2 linked regions of the Canis lupus familiaris genome follow. The protein of the gene in region 2 purifies or fractionates together with the protein of the main gene of each other region. This does not show direct contact. Links are inferred from orthologs where the notes say so. Each region holds a gene or a part of one and is shown on either strand. Other genes may lie near its edges.

Evidence for each region.
Region 1: the proteins of KIF23 (region 2) and ARF6 purify together in Homo sapiens (affinity purification with western blotting; 3 studies listed by BioGRID and IntAct, with this or other methods). This does not show direct contact. The link is inferred for Canis lupus familiaris from reciprocal best matches to the Homo sapiens genes KIF23 and ARF6.

What each region holds. Positions count from the first base shown.
Region 1 is NC_049229.1:26,667,044-26,673,876, reverse strand, and holds ARF6 (ADP-ribosylation factor 6), read right to left. Parts: upstream 4,442-6,833; 5' UTR 4,280-4,441; exon of another isoform or gene 4,180-4,279; 5' UTR 3,694-4,179; coding exon 3,166-3,693; 3' UTR 397-3,165; downstream 1-396. Other genes in the region: uncharacterized protein LOC119876490, read left to right, coding at 4,478-5,089. UniProt on the Homo sapiens protein: GTP-binding protein involved in protein trafficking that regulates endocytic recycling and cytoskeleton remodeling. GTP-bound form plays an important role in the transport of multiple palmitoylated proteins form the Golgi to the plasma membrane.
Region 2 is NC_049251.1:33,742,755-33,749,279, reverse strand, and holds the start of KIF23 (kinesin-like protein KIF23), read right to left. Parts: upstream 4,385-6,525; 5' UTR 4,343-4,384; coding exon 4,332-4,342; intron 2,401-4,331; coding exon 2,331-2,400; intron 1,251-2,330; coding exon 1,122-1,250; intron 1-1,121.

The sequences.
Region 1 (6,833 bases), on a different chromosome or scaffold from region 2:
GACAAACTTTAAAATTGCCAAGTCAATTGTCAAGGGTTAAGACAACTCTGTGGGCCAATTTTTTAGAGACAAAATTCTATTCCTAAAAACAGTAAGGTTTGTGATTTTGGAAAAATGGTACGATAGAAACTATTTAGAACCTTAGTTTTTAAAAATTATTTTCAACTGCTTTTGTGTCCTAAGTTATCATAAAATCAGATTAAGCTTGGTGGAACTAAATCAGTACAAAGACTTCTTATACACCCAGGACTGTAAGAACCAAATTCTTTTTTGTTCTTATAAAAGCTTGGTGACTCCCAAATCGAGTCACTTTATACCATACATCCCTGGAGAATAACGGCCCAACACACATGTCCCACTTAATCTAGTCCAAACGAGTAACATAACGTGAGAAACTGCACTGTGTAATTCCTTTATTTTCTGCATATTAGTGCTTTACCAACACTACAACCATAAAGAACACAATTCCAAGTACTGTACTTTTTTAGTTTGGGGAGATCACAAGTCTACAGACTCATTTACTTATATTAGACAAGATTAACCTCATTCAAAACTTACTGCAGTTTATAAATTCACATAAACACAGAAATTGATGCAATTAAACAAAAACTTCAGGATCTTATTTTTTAAATTCCTAGATTATAACTTTTTCTGCAGGCTACAATTACCTGCCCCATGACCACCAATGGTTATGGTTCAATTTAACTACATCAATTACCAACCTTGTATATCCTTAAAGAAAATGTAAATGAATATTACAAATTCTTACCAAAAGTTTAGGGTTTTCCAAATTTCAAATATTTGCTCCCCCCACCCCCCTTCAGTTAGACATTTCAAATAAACTAAAAATAACCACATCTCACCTGCAACATTCAATAGCAATCACTTGATGTATAAAATTTTAACTATGCTCCCAGTTATTTTAAAACACAAAAAAATGGCTGCCTATCAATCTGTCACAAGTTAGAAATACTACATTTAGGAATTAAGATGAGGGTTTCAAGTTTCCTCCAGTTTAGGCATTTATACCTTTGTGCTTGTCTTGTCTAAAGATGTTACTATAGCATTGATATTTGTATAACCCATGTTTATGTACCTTAAAATGCAATCATTTAAAACACTAAGAATTAGATTTATGGTGGAGCTTTGGGAAATTTAAAAGCAACTAAAATGTTCTCGGATGGGTCTGTCAGCTTCATTTCTAGAAATACTTCTAAAGCAAAACTGAGAACTCTATACCTTAGTTGCATTTTGTATTAAAAAATCCCTCTGCACCATCAGGAGCCTACAACATAGCACCTTTTCTCATCTGCTTTAAGTAAAATGTGTCAGAGTTTTACTTTCAATAGTTAACTTTTTATACCTTATGCTTCTCATACATCTTTGGTAAAAGCTCCATTATACAATATGGCCAAAGCACGAAGGACCAATACTGTCCAACTATGTACCATGATATCCCGCTCCATTTTAGTTTTCAGACACCCTCCTGAACAAAACCCACTCCACCTTTTCCTGTATACTGCCTTTGCAGTCTACATTTCTTAAATTCCCTACGTTTAATTCCTTGAGGATCTCTAAAATTAATCCTTAAGGCTATATGAGAACCAGATGCTGCTCACAATTCTGTATCAAGCATTAACATTTGGTTCAAGGTATCATCATAGTGGTCTCGATAAGCTAGTTACGGGTCCTAACAAGCTAAGCAAGTAATCTTGCTAGGATCTGGATATCACCAGTGAGCACACTGCTTACCCTTGAAGAAAAATAAGTTTACATTCATTGTCATCTGTAGGTTCTTTCTTCATCCTACTTCCCCTTTAATTGTCATTTCTCAAGTCTACACATCATTCATTCATCACATTTCCTTCCTTAAAGGAGATAGTGTATTAATGAACCAACAGGAGATCTATTTGTATGAGTTAATCCTACAATCAAACAGAATTAAATACCTTTTTTATAAAACATCTTTTCCAGTGTTCTAATTAATGGAGATGTGGATCACTCAATTATAAAAAAACTTCTATCTTCAGCTTAATCAGTTGCTCTAATGTGAAAACAGGAATGTGTATTCTTTCAACTAGGTAGAAAATGTGTATAATTTGAATTGTTAAACGCTTTTATTAATGAACAAAGTAAACATTCTAGTAACTTTTAAAGTATTGGTCTTAGACATTTGAAATGTGGTAAAAGTATATATTCCAGTTTTGCCCCAATGTCACTGAAAATATCTACAGATATCTCATCTGTGTGTGGCCTACACCATTATTGCTCCATTTTCTGGAAAGAGTCTACTTTTAAAGTTAAAAAAGAGGGAAACACAGCAAAGTTGCTAACTTTTGCAGTGAAAAAAAATCTGTTGACGGGTTACACTTTCATCTTTTTATGCAGTGTAAGTTAGCTATGTAATAAGGAACTTGCGTTTTAGCCCTACTCATGCATGATGTATGTTTCAGAACTTAATAGCTGACATTTCAAAGAACTTCTTACATTACCTGTTTAACATACTGATGTGCAACTGGAACATATTACAATGATATTACTCATTATTTGCCACTGTAGGCTAAGTTTACTATACTGGTCTTAGATATAAAAGGTCACATTTGAAATTACTAAGTTAAAGGTAAAACTCATAAGGGAGGAGTAAAGGCCTTAAATATAAAAGACAAACGGCAGTTTGATTAAGCAATAATTTTCAGTTTACTAGATGAAACAGACTTGCAACATAGTCTGCATGAATGCAAAATAAGCCATCTACAGCAAGTGATAAGGAAACTGGGCAAAAAGGAAAAAAGCATACATTGCAAAAAAGATTCTCTCGAAATAAAAAAATCAAACCATTATTATAAAGGACTTTACCAAAAACTGCTATATTTCCCCCATCCCATTTGCTGGAAGTCAGTAAGAGCATCTAGCACTTTGTGGTCATGTCAAATGTCAGATCGGAGCATCCTAATGCAAAGCAAAAAAAAAGGGGGGGGGGGGGGAGAAAGAGAAACAAAAAAGGAAACCCCTAAACCCCCCCCCCCTCCCCAACCGTAGAACAGTAACTCCAGAGTTCAAATTCAAAAGAAGAGAAAGTGGCAATTGAAAGAGGTGATGGTGGCGATAATCCTATGAATGGGTTTCTGATTTCTCTCCTTCCGGGGGATAGGTGGAGAATGCTCATTAGGATTTGTAGTTAGAGGTTAACCATGTGAGCCCCTCATAGAGTCCATCCCCTGAGGTGGCACAGGAGGGCTGCACATACCAGTTCCTGTCCCGAATCCGGGTCAGGCCCAGTTTCTCCTGGATCTCGTGGGGTTTCATGGCATCAGGCAGGTCCTGTTTGTTGGCGAAGATGAGGATTATGGCGTCCCTCATCTCCCGGTCATTGATAATGCGGTGCAGCTCCTGGCGGGCCTCGTCGATGCGGTCGCGGTCGGCGCAGTCCACTACGAAGATCAGACCCTGGGTCCCGGTGTAGTAATGCCGCCAGAGCGGCCGGATCTTGTCCTGGCCGCCCACATCCCATACGTTGAACTTGACGTTTTTGTAAGTCACGGTCTCCACGTTGAAACCCACTGTGGGAATGGTGGTCACCGACTGGCCCAGCTTCAACTTGTACAGGATTGTTGTCTTGCCGGCCGCGTCCAGGCCCAACATGAGGATCCGCATTTCCTTGTTCCCGAAGATCTTGGATAGCACCTTCCCCATCGCGTCGGAGGAGCCGGGGCCGGGGGCATTCAGGTGTCCCGGGTCCCCTCAGCCAACTACGCCGCAGCCGCCGCGAAACCGAAACGAAGCCTCCCGGCCGCGAGGGCGCCCGTGCGGCCTGCGTGGGAGTTGCCTCCTCGGGGCAGAGGCCCAGGCTCGCCACTCACTCGGGCATCACCGACCGCACAACTTGATTCCTCCAGCCGCCGCCGCCGCCGGGGCCCTGAGTCTGCGCCGGGAGAGCCGCCGCCCTGCTGAGGCGCGGCCCGGCCCGGAACTGCCCTTCCCCCCGCAAGCGCCGCGCTAGCGCCGCCGCGGTTCCCGCTCCTCCGCCTTCTCTTCACTCGGCCGCGGGAGGTCGAAGCCCTCCGGCCCACCCGCCGGTCCACGAGCACCGGGCTCACCACCGACCCAGGCCACCCGAGAGTCAGCGCGGCTCCGGCGCCTCGTCAGGTCATTGATCCTCGCCGGGATCCGGTGCGCCGCCTGCAGAGACACAGAGAGGAAGAAGGGAGTTACTGCCGGCAGGCCAGAAGGGAGCGGAGGCCCAGGTGACTCGTCCTTCCAGCTCAGTTCGCGAGGTTACCTCAAGCCGCCGCCCTGAGCGCGGGCTCCCTCTGGCCTCCACCGCCTCCTCCCAGCTCTGCCGCTGCCGCCGCCGCCGCCGCCGGAAAAGGCGCCGAAGAAACCGCCTCACTTCCCCTCCCGATCACGCAGGCGCAGCAAGGCCGACCGTTCGGTGAGAGCGAGCTCTGTAAGGAGCGCGGCCCGCGCGCCCAGCGTCATGGGCGCCACGCGCGAGGGGGCGGGGCTACGGCGGCCTGGAGGCCTCGCGGCTGCGGTCAGGCCCCAGACCCGCGAAACTCGGACTCTGACCCGTGCCCGCCTGGCGCTGTACGCGGACTTTCTGCGTCCCTGTGGCGCGCTCTCGCCTCCCCCAGCCCTCTCGAACCAGAGCAGGCAAATCCACTGGGGAGCTCCCGAGGGCGGGGCCCGCGGCCAGCCCTCTCCCGCGGTGAAAGCCTCCCCCAGGCTGCTTCCGGACGTCGGTGCCCGCCAGGTGCTCAGCGAGTTCCCTTGGGCCCGCCCCAGCCTCCGCGCGTCCTCAGTCACCCGGGAAAGCCCTATATGCTGTTTGTACGTCTCCCAGCCCGTCCTTGGCCTCCCTCATCCCGCGTGTTCTGTGCATTTCCTGAAAGACACGTGGGAGGCCCGCGTTTGGTGTGGAGTCGGCCAAGCAGTGCGGCGCTTCTACCAGGCTTGGGTTTGCCAGGAAACCCCGCTTTTCGGTGTTCGAGCCCTGTCTTACACATCTCTTCGGGACCAGACCCTGTTACTTAAAAATGACAGTGTTAACCAGAGTTCCAGTCCCTTGCTGCGTTTTCAACTTTTTAAGGTGATAACTTTTCATACTTAAGTTAGTGTGTTGAGCAGTAACTTAACCACCTAGCTTTTCTTTAAGAATCCTAGACGAGGGGATCCCTGGGCGGCCCAGCGCTTTAGCGCCTGCCTTCAGCCCAGGGCGTGACCCTGGAGACCCGGGATCGAGTCCCGCATTGCGCTCCCTGCGTGGAGCCTGCTTCTCCCTCTGCCTGGGTCTCTGCCTCTCTCTCTCTCTCTCTCTCTCTTTCTCTCTCTCTCGAACGAACAAATAAATAAAGTATTTTTTTAAAAATCCCAGACAATAATAATCTTAGCACTAGGGTTTAGAGTCAGAAAGCCTGACTACTTTTGTGACCTGGATCTAAGGCATTTAACCTTGCTAAGTTTGTTATCTCATGTGTAAACCGAGTGTAGTGCCGACCTTGCTCTGTGTACTCCGTTTCAGAGTAAATAACAAAATGTTTGTGGAAGACTTTCGGAAACTTTTTTGTAGCAAATAGTTAGAGATCAAGTTAGACTTAAAGTAAGGCGAAGCCTAAAATAAAGGAACCAAGGGGAGGAAAAACAGGAAATAGGGTTTGTTATTTTTTAAGGAAGATGCTATAGAAGCATATGATAACATACTTGTTTCATAATATAAGAATATTTGATAATGGTAGATGGGTCAGGTGATAACCTTATAAGCTTCAGCTGAAATAAACTTACTGGAGTTGTTAATATTCTGACTGATCCAAGTTTACTTTCCATCTGCCTTGATCCATCTTACTTTCCACTGTCATAAAACTGAAGGAAGGATTTTGGAGTGAGAAGATTAGGGTTCAAAGTGTTGCCTGTCCGTTTTATGGCTGTGAATCCTTAGGCCTCAACCTTCCTAATCTTCATTTTCTTTATCTGTAAAATCAGACGAAGGATAATATCACTCATAAAAAAAATAGTCACCATTTGTTGTTTGTAATGGCAAACACTGTACTAAATATTTTAAATCTATTTTTAATCCTCACAGCAATCATATGAAGTAATTTTGAGCATTAACATTTTACATATCAATAGAGAGGTTAAGGTGTTTTTTGAGGGTCACAGAGCTGAGATTAAATCATAAATGTGCAGCTCCTCCTCTTAGCCCCCTAATGATGGTATCTCCCTGACTACCTCACACAGTGGTTTGGAATCTCAAAGTGGTTTATAAAGTGCCATAGTACTTATTATTGTATTTGAGGTAGGAATTTTTTTTATATGTGGCATATAGAGGTATTATATTTTGTTGCATTCCAACATAACCAACATAATAGTTTTCTCAGAGCAGATTCCAGTTTTTCCAAGTAGATGGAGATTGATCTGCTGGGCTTGGATTTATTTTTCAGTGGAAGGAGTAATATAATGAAAAACAGAAGCAGCTGGAAGCACCTAACAGCGTCTACCTGGCACTGATACTGTGTTAGGTCTAAAAAGTTTATTTTTGAAAGCCATCCTCTGTTTATATTCCCCCAGAATGCAGGCTTCATAGAGGCAGAGACTTGTCAATGTAAGTTACATCATTATTTGAATGAATGAATGCCACTTATATTACAAATAAGATCAAACGGAAAAGGAAAGGGACATACTAATTTTGTCTGGGGTTAGAATATTGGATATCTAGAGTGTTTCATCATACAATAAATTATTTTAAGTAATAATCATAAAACAAAATAATTGCCAGAAACTTAAAATACAGATAGTGAAAAAATTTAACTTTGTATATAGTCATAGCAGTTGAGAAG
Region 2 (6,525 bases):
TGGGATACAAGCAGGAGACGCACGGTACTACCATTTATTGAGAGGAAATGAGGAAATGATTTAGAGGGGGAAAAAAATCAAGAGTTCTTGTGGACACATAAAATTTGAGATGCTTACATGACATGCAAACAGTGGATGTTCCAGCTTAGAGCAGACATAAGGTTTAGGCTGGAGATTAAAATTTAAAAAAAAAAACAAAACAAAAAAAAAAAAAAACCTCCAGAACTATAAGCAACATTTAAAGCCATGGGAAAGGGTAGAGAAAAGAGCCCTAGGTGTAGCCAACCCCAGCACTGAGAGGTTAGAAAAGGAAGAAGAACCTGAAGAGGGTGGCCAGTTACAGCTGAGAACATAGAGACCTGGATGGGGAGACGGAAGAGGGCTTCAGGAAGGATGGTCCTGCTGACAAATGGATTATGACAAGAGGTGTCCATCCAATGTGAGCAATCCAGAGGCCACTGTGGGCTTCTGACAGTCTCACAGGAGCAGGGTGCATGAGGGTGAAAGGCAGCTCAACAGAGAGACAACAGCCTGAATCCATGCTTCCTTCTGCACTCCCATAGTCCAGCTCTTTCAGCACACTGATTTATTTTATCTATATAAAGGTTACCCTTTCTATCTGGTGCCCCCAACTCAGCTGAAAGCCCCATAAAGGCAAGGATTGTGTCCTACTCGTTTTTGAAAATCTCCTTCTGCCCTGCAGCTTTAGTGCAATGTTTGAACTGAACTAAACTCACTTTGCTCAAGATTTTATTAAACAACACTTCAAAGGAGGTCAAAACAAATACAAAACGCCTATTGCTATTTTAATCTGCACATGAAATTGTGTGTGTGTCTGTATGTATAGCGACCTAGCACAATCATTCAAGATCCCAAACCTATGCTCTAAAAAACAATAAATATCCAGTACAAGAAACTGCCTCATATAAGCAATCCCCTAACTCAAAGAATACCAAACATAAGCCTATCCACACTTTATATATAGAGGTTAGAGGGAAGTAAACAAATTTTTCAAAAAAAAGTAGAAATGTGAATTGTGTTAAATGTTAAAAAAAAAATGGAAAAGCCATTTCAGGAGAGAACATCTCAAGTAAAAACAGCTTGGTTCCAATGGGAATTACCTCCTTATAATCTCCATTTCGGTTGAGCCTGTAACCCTCAGGAGTATGAAGCTGAACGGTTGTATTATTGATCACTTCTATGCAGCACTCTTGATCAGGAAGGCTCAGTGGGCGCACCCTACAGTACACCTGAAATTACAGGAATGTGCTTCCAGAATGAAGGTTGACTACTTTGCATTTAAGCTTCTCATTCACTCATCCAACATTTGGTCTCTCAGCATAAGAGATTTATATGAACTTAGAGCTATGAAAACCAAAACTTGCTACCAGACATTGTCAGCTATAAACAGATCTATCAGGTATGAGGAGCTTTAAATACACTTACAATGAAAATAAATTTGGATGACAAAAGCATCAAATCACTATTATACTGGCACAAATTGAGTAAATTTATATTACCACTAATATAAAAATCTCTAAAATTGATAACATATCACACAATGAGAATTATCTGAAAAGCTGTTAGAATTTGTTGATATTGGATATCAAATAAAACTTGACAGCTTAACACTATATACCAACAAATGTAACATATATACAAATAAGTATAATATACAAATGAGTAAGCACATCATCTGAAACACATCTTCTTAATCAGTGATAGGGTCGAGGAAGAACTATTCAGCTGAAAATGCAAAGCATCAGTTTCCCCCCACCTAGAACAAGAGACACATTCTGGTGCCAGTGAAGGAGAGAGAAAAATATCCCAGGGCAAAACAACCTTCTTTTATTTGCCATTTGTCTTTAAAAGAAAGTCCCAAAGCCTGAAACTCATGAAGTACATGCAGTTATGATGAGTTACTAGACTGAATTAAGCTGTTCTACACCAGTGTCTTTACGGAGCATACCATCAGTCACTATTTAAAAGCCCCAAAGATGGGAGAGGATGCTCATCCAAGCAGAAATTTCCCTGCCTTCCAAGAGAGTAGAAGAATTCTCCGGGACAGCTGAAGAATATCTTTCATTATCTAACTTTTCAAGTTATAGTTAGTTATAGGAGTTATGCAACTGACATACCCAAACACTTCATTTTACTAATGAATCCTATATAGAAACAAAACTTTAAAGCTGGGACCAGACTTACCCATTTAACTAATGTTCTCTGACTCTGCTTCCACAGCTCCATCCCTTCCAAGCATACACAGAAGACAGAAGAGGACAGAAGAAAACACACACACACACACACACAAATTCACAGGGAGACCTTACCCCCACTGGGTCTTTAAGACTTGTTTGGGATCCTTTCTTCACTAGAAGTTTCCTGGGCGTCTTAGTCCTCCTGGTCACAGGTTAAAAAAAAAAAAAAAATCAGTTCAAAATAACATACAAAAACCTCACCTATAATTCAGAGACAGTCTTCCTTGGGTTTATAAAGTTATCCCTGAGCAGTTCTAAAACATGACACCCCAAATAACGTTAAAAATAAGCTGCATTAGAAGAATGTTTGTGGGGGAAAAAAAAAAGAATGTATGTGGCTCACCTAATGCAAAAGTATGGCAAATTGGGTTCAGGAGACGTCTTCGGTACTAGATAATTTTCTATATTTAAACTAGCTTGCATATTTTCTTGGACGACAATTTTACAGAAGCACTACAGATTCGAAAAATCCATAGATAACTGAGACCTGGTTTATCCTCAAGACCTACAGGCACACCAGCGCACACACTGCCCCAACATCCATCGCTAAGGCAGGCTGACAGGTGATCAACTTCACGAAATGATTAAAAAAAAAAAAAGAAATCCATTCTTTCAGCAAGATGTACATCTACACATTCAAGGAACAAATTATCGGAGTTCTCTAAGCCATCATCCTTTGTCCTCGAACACAACTGGGTCTTCCCACTGCCATTTCTTGCCCTCTTACAATCAGAAGCTATTTTGGGGCTTCATCAATCAGGCTGTCGGCTTTCCTCCACACCGCCAGCCCCGACCGGTTAAGAAATCAATAGTGCAGATGAACATTTAACAGTAAAATTAAGCGCCGCAGAGACTGCATAGAAAATCAAGTATTTTCACGACACGTTTCGAGACCAAACAAGCAAGCCAATTAGCGTTTCCAATACAAAATATTATAGTGGGTCTCCTAAACTCAATATATATATACATATGCACATACACATATATATGTATATATACATATCCCATATATACATATTTACATATATATGCATATACATATCCCATATATACATATATGTATTATACATAAGCTCGATATATATAAACTCAATATATATACACATACACATATATATGTATATATACATACATATCCCCTATATATACACATATACATATATATGCATATACATATCCCATATATGCATATACAATACATATATATACTCTATATAAACTCAATATATATACACATACATACATGTACATATATTATACATATGTAAACTCAATATATATGTACACATACACATACATGTATATATACATACATATCCCATATATACATATGTGTATATATACATATTATACATAAACTCAATATATATAAACTCAGTATGTATATATACACATACACATATATAGACACATACATATCCCATATATATACATATACACATATATGCATATATATATCCCATATATACATATACATATATACATAAATAATACATATATACTCTATATAAACTCAATATATATACACATACATATATACATGTATATTATACATAAACTCAATATATATACATACACATATATATGTATATATACATATCCCATATATATACATATATACATGTATACATATACGTGTGTGTATATATATGTGTGTGTGTATATATATAATATATATATATGTGTGTATATATATATATTTTTTTTAAGCTAGAAGGTCTTTACTCGGGCCCCTAGGATAACCAGCTGCTCTGCCGCAGCGGGCGCTGCTTCCCGGGCGGTGGGGCCGCGGCCTGCGGGCCTGCGGGGCCTGCGGGGCGGGGCTGTCACGCGGCCCGGCGCCCGGCGCGCTCCCGGGGCTCGGCCTGCCTCGACCTGGAGGGCGCCAGGGCCCCCCGCGCCCCCGCCCCCGCCCCCGCGCCCGCACCTCCGCGGCGCCCCCGTCGCGGGGCCCCACCCGGCACAGAGCCCCCGGGGAGGGGCCGCCGCGGCCCGGGCGCCGCGCCCACGCGGGGGGCTCCCCCTCCGGGGCCGGCGGCCGGTGCAGACCGAGGGGACGCGGCCGGTACTCACGCTGGCTTCATGGCGGCGGGCGCCGGGCTCTGCGGGGCGGCGGGGGCGGCGGCGGCGGGGGCGGCGGGGGCGGCGGGGGCGGCGGACCGCGGGAAGCGGGACCCGGCGGCCCAGGCGCGGCGCTCCGGGAGCCCAGGTGAGCTCGCGCGCGGCGCATTTCAAACGGGCCAATCAGCGCCCGCCCGCGGGGAAAGGGGCGTGGCCTCGGAGGAAAGGGGCGTGGCCTCGGAGGACGTGCCGGCTCTGCCGGAAGCGGGGCTGGTCTCCTAGGCGACCGCCGGGCGCGGGCGGGAGGTGCTGCTGCGGGGCGGACCTCGGAGGCGCTGAGACCCCGCCCCCCCTCCCACGTTCCCCGCCGGGCGGCTGCGGGGTTTTTCCCTGCGGCACAGGAAGCCGGCTGGAAGGGCAGGGCCTCGGGGGACCCCCCAGCCCGCAGCGTTCCCGCCCGGGAGCCGAGCCCTGCACCGCGGGCCCCCTACCTGGCCTCCACCCCGCCCCGCACGCGGGCTCGCCCTGTGCCTCCACCCTCCCCGGATCTCCCTCGCCGCTGCCCCCGGCCCTTCCGCAGACACGCGCTGTTCCATCCAATGCCTGATCCCCGGCGCTGTGATAAAGGAAACCCCACGCCCAAGATGGAGCCCCAGCCCCCCCTCCCCCAGAAGCGTGGTCAGAACGGGTCAGCCAGGGCACCCATGAGGGCACCTGTCACGGGGACCCCTCCTCTCCCCGCCCGCACCAAAGGAAGAGGAAGAGGAGATGATGCCCAGAGTAGGACCCCCCCCCCACCACCGCCTTCCACCCCAGGTCCTTTCTCTTGTGTCACTGACCCCTCCCTGGCCCCACCCTCCCTCCTATGAAGACCCTTCCACTTAGGGTCCTGGGAGCACCTCTCTGCTTGCTGGATGGGATGCCCCCCGATTCGCGAGTCAAGCCAAGTTGATCTTTTCAATGACCCCGCTGAATTTTTGTGTGGCCACATACAGAGATGAACGGATGGAGTTTGGGCCTTGCCCTTGAAGAGCAATGGCCAGAGCAGCTCTTTCCTAAAATGGACAGATTCTACCCCACTTTGGCCCATCGCTCTCAAATCTGTGTCTACATCTGTGTTCTCACGGGGCTCTAGGCCCATCTCCTCGCTGGACACCGGTGAAATGGACATAATTTAATATCCCTGGCCCATATTGTTACACACAAGGATGGTCTTTCCTGATGCTTTTATGGTTTTTTTGCGTGTGTTTGTTTGTTCGTTTGTTTTTTTTTTTTTATGTATAGGCCTTTGAACCATCAGAAGTTTGTTGTTAAATGGCAGGTTGGGATTTGTGTTATTTAGGAACTGGGTGTAGCTGCTGGCTACTTACCTCTTTTACCCTGCAGGTAGCCTTGGTCTCTCCTTTGGAACTCTTCTCACCAAGACCATCACCCCCCACCCTACCTTACTTGACCTCTCAACAGCACAAAAAATACTGATTCCTCTTTTCCTATGCCTTCAGCTTTTTTTCCTCCTAAGCTCCCTAAGCCCCTCTTTCTCAGAACTCATTTGTGAGGTTTTTTTTTTTTTTTTTTTTTTTTTTTTGCGGGGGGGGGGGTTGTGTGTGTGTGTGTTGTTTTGTATTTTGTCCCTTAAATGTTGTAGCTTAGGGTTTTGACCTGGTCACTAGCTGAGGCCTCTCCTCAGGCACCCCCAGTCACTCTCCTCGCTTCACATACCATTCAAATTTGTCCTTGTCCACTTCAGACCTATATGTCCAATTGCCTTCTGGATTCTCCGTGTGGGTGTCCCACAGGCACCTCATACCTACCGCACCCTAATTGCTTCCCCTGAACCTGCTACCCCACAGTGGATGGTATCACCATCTACCCAAGCCACCCAAGCCTAGGGTCCCAGGTACCATCTTGGACTTTTGCCTCTCTTTCTTTTCCAACCATCCACTCACCACATCTTGAAAGTTCTACCTATTAAATAGCCTTCAAACCTCTCAATCCATTTCTCTCCATCCCCTTGGCTACTCAGCATCTTGCAGTATGGATGACTGCAATAGGAATCCAACAGGCTTCCCTGCTGCTACCCTCCGAACCTACTCATAAACCACAGATCTGGTCATGTCACTCCCCTGCTTCTAACACTGCAGTAGCTCCCCATGGCTAGACGCCCTCCACAGGGCTCTGAGGCTCTTCCTCTCCAAGCCCATCACTT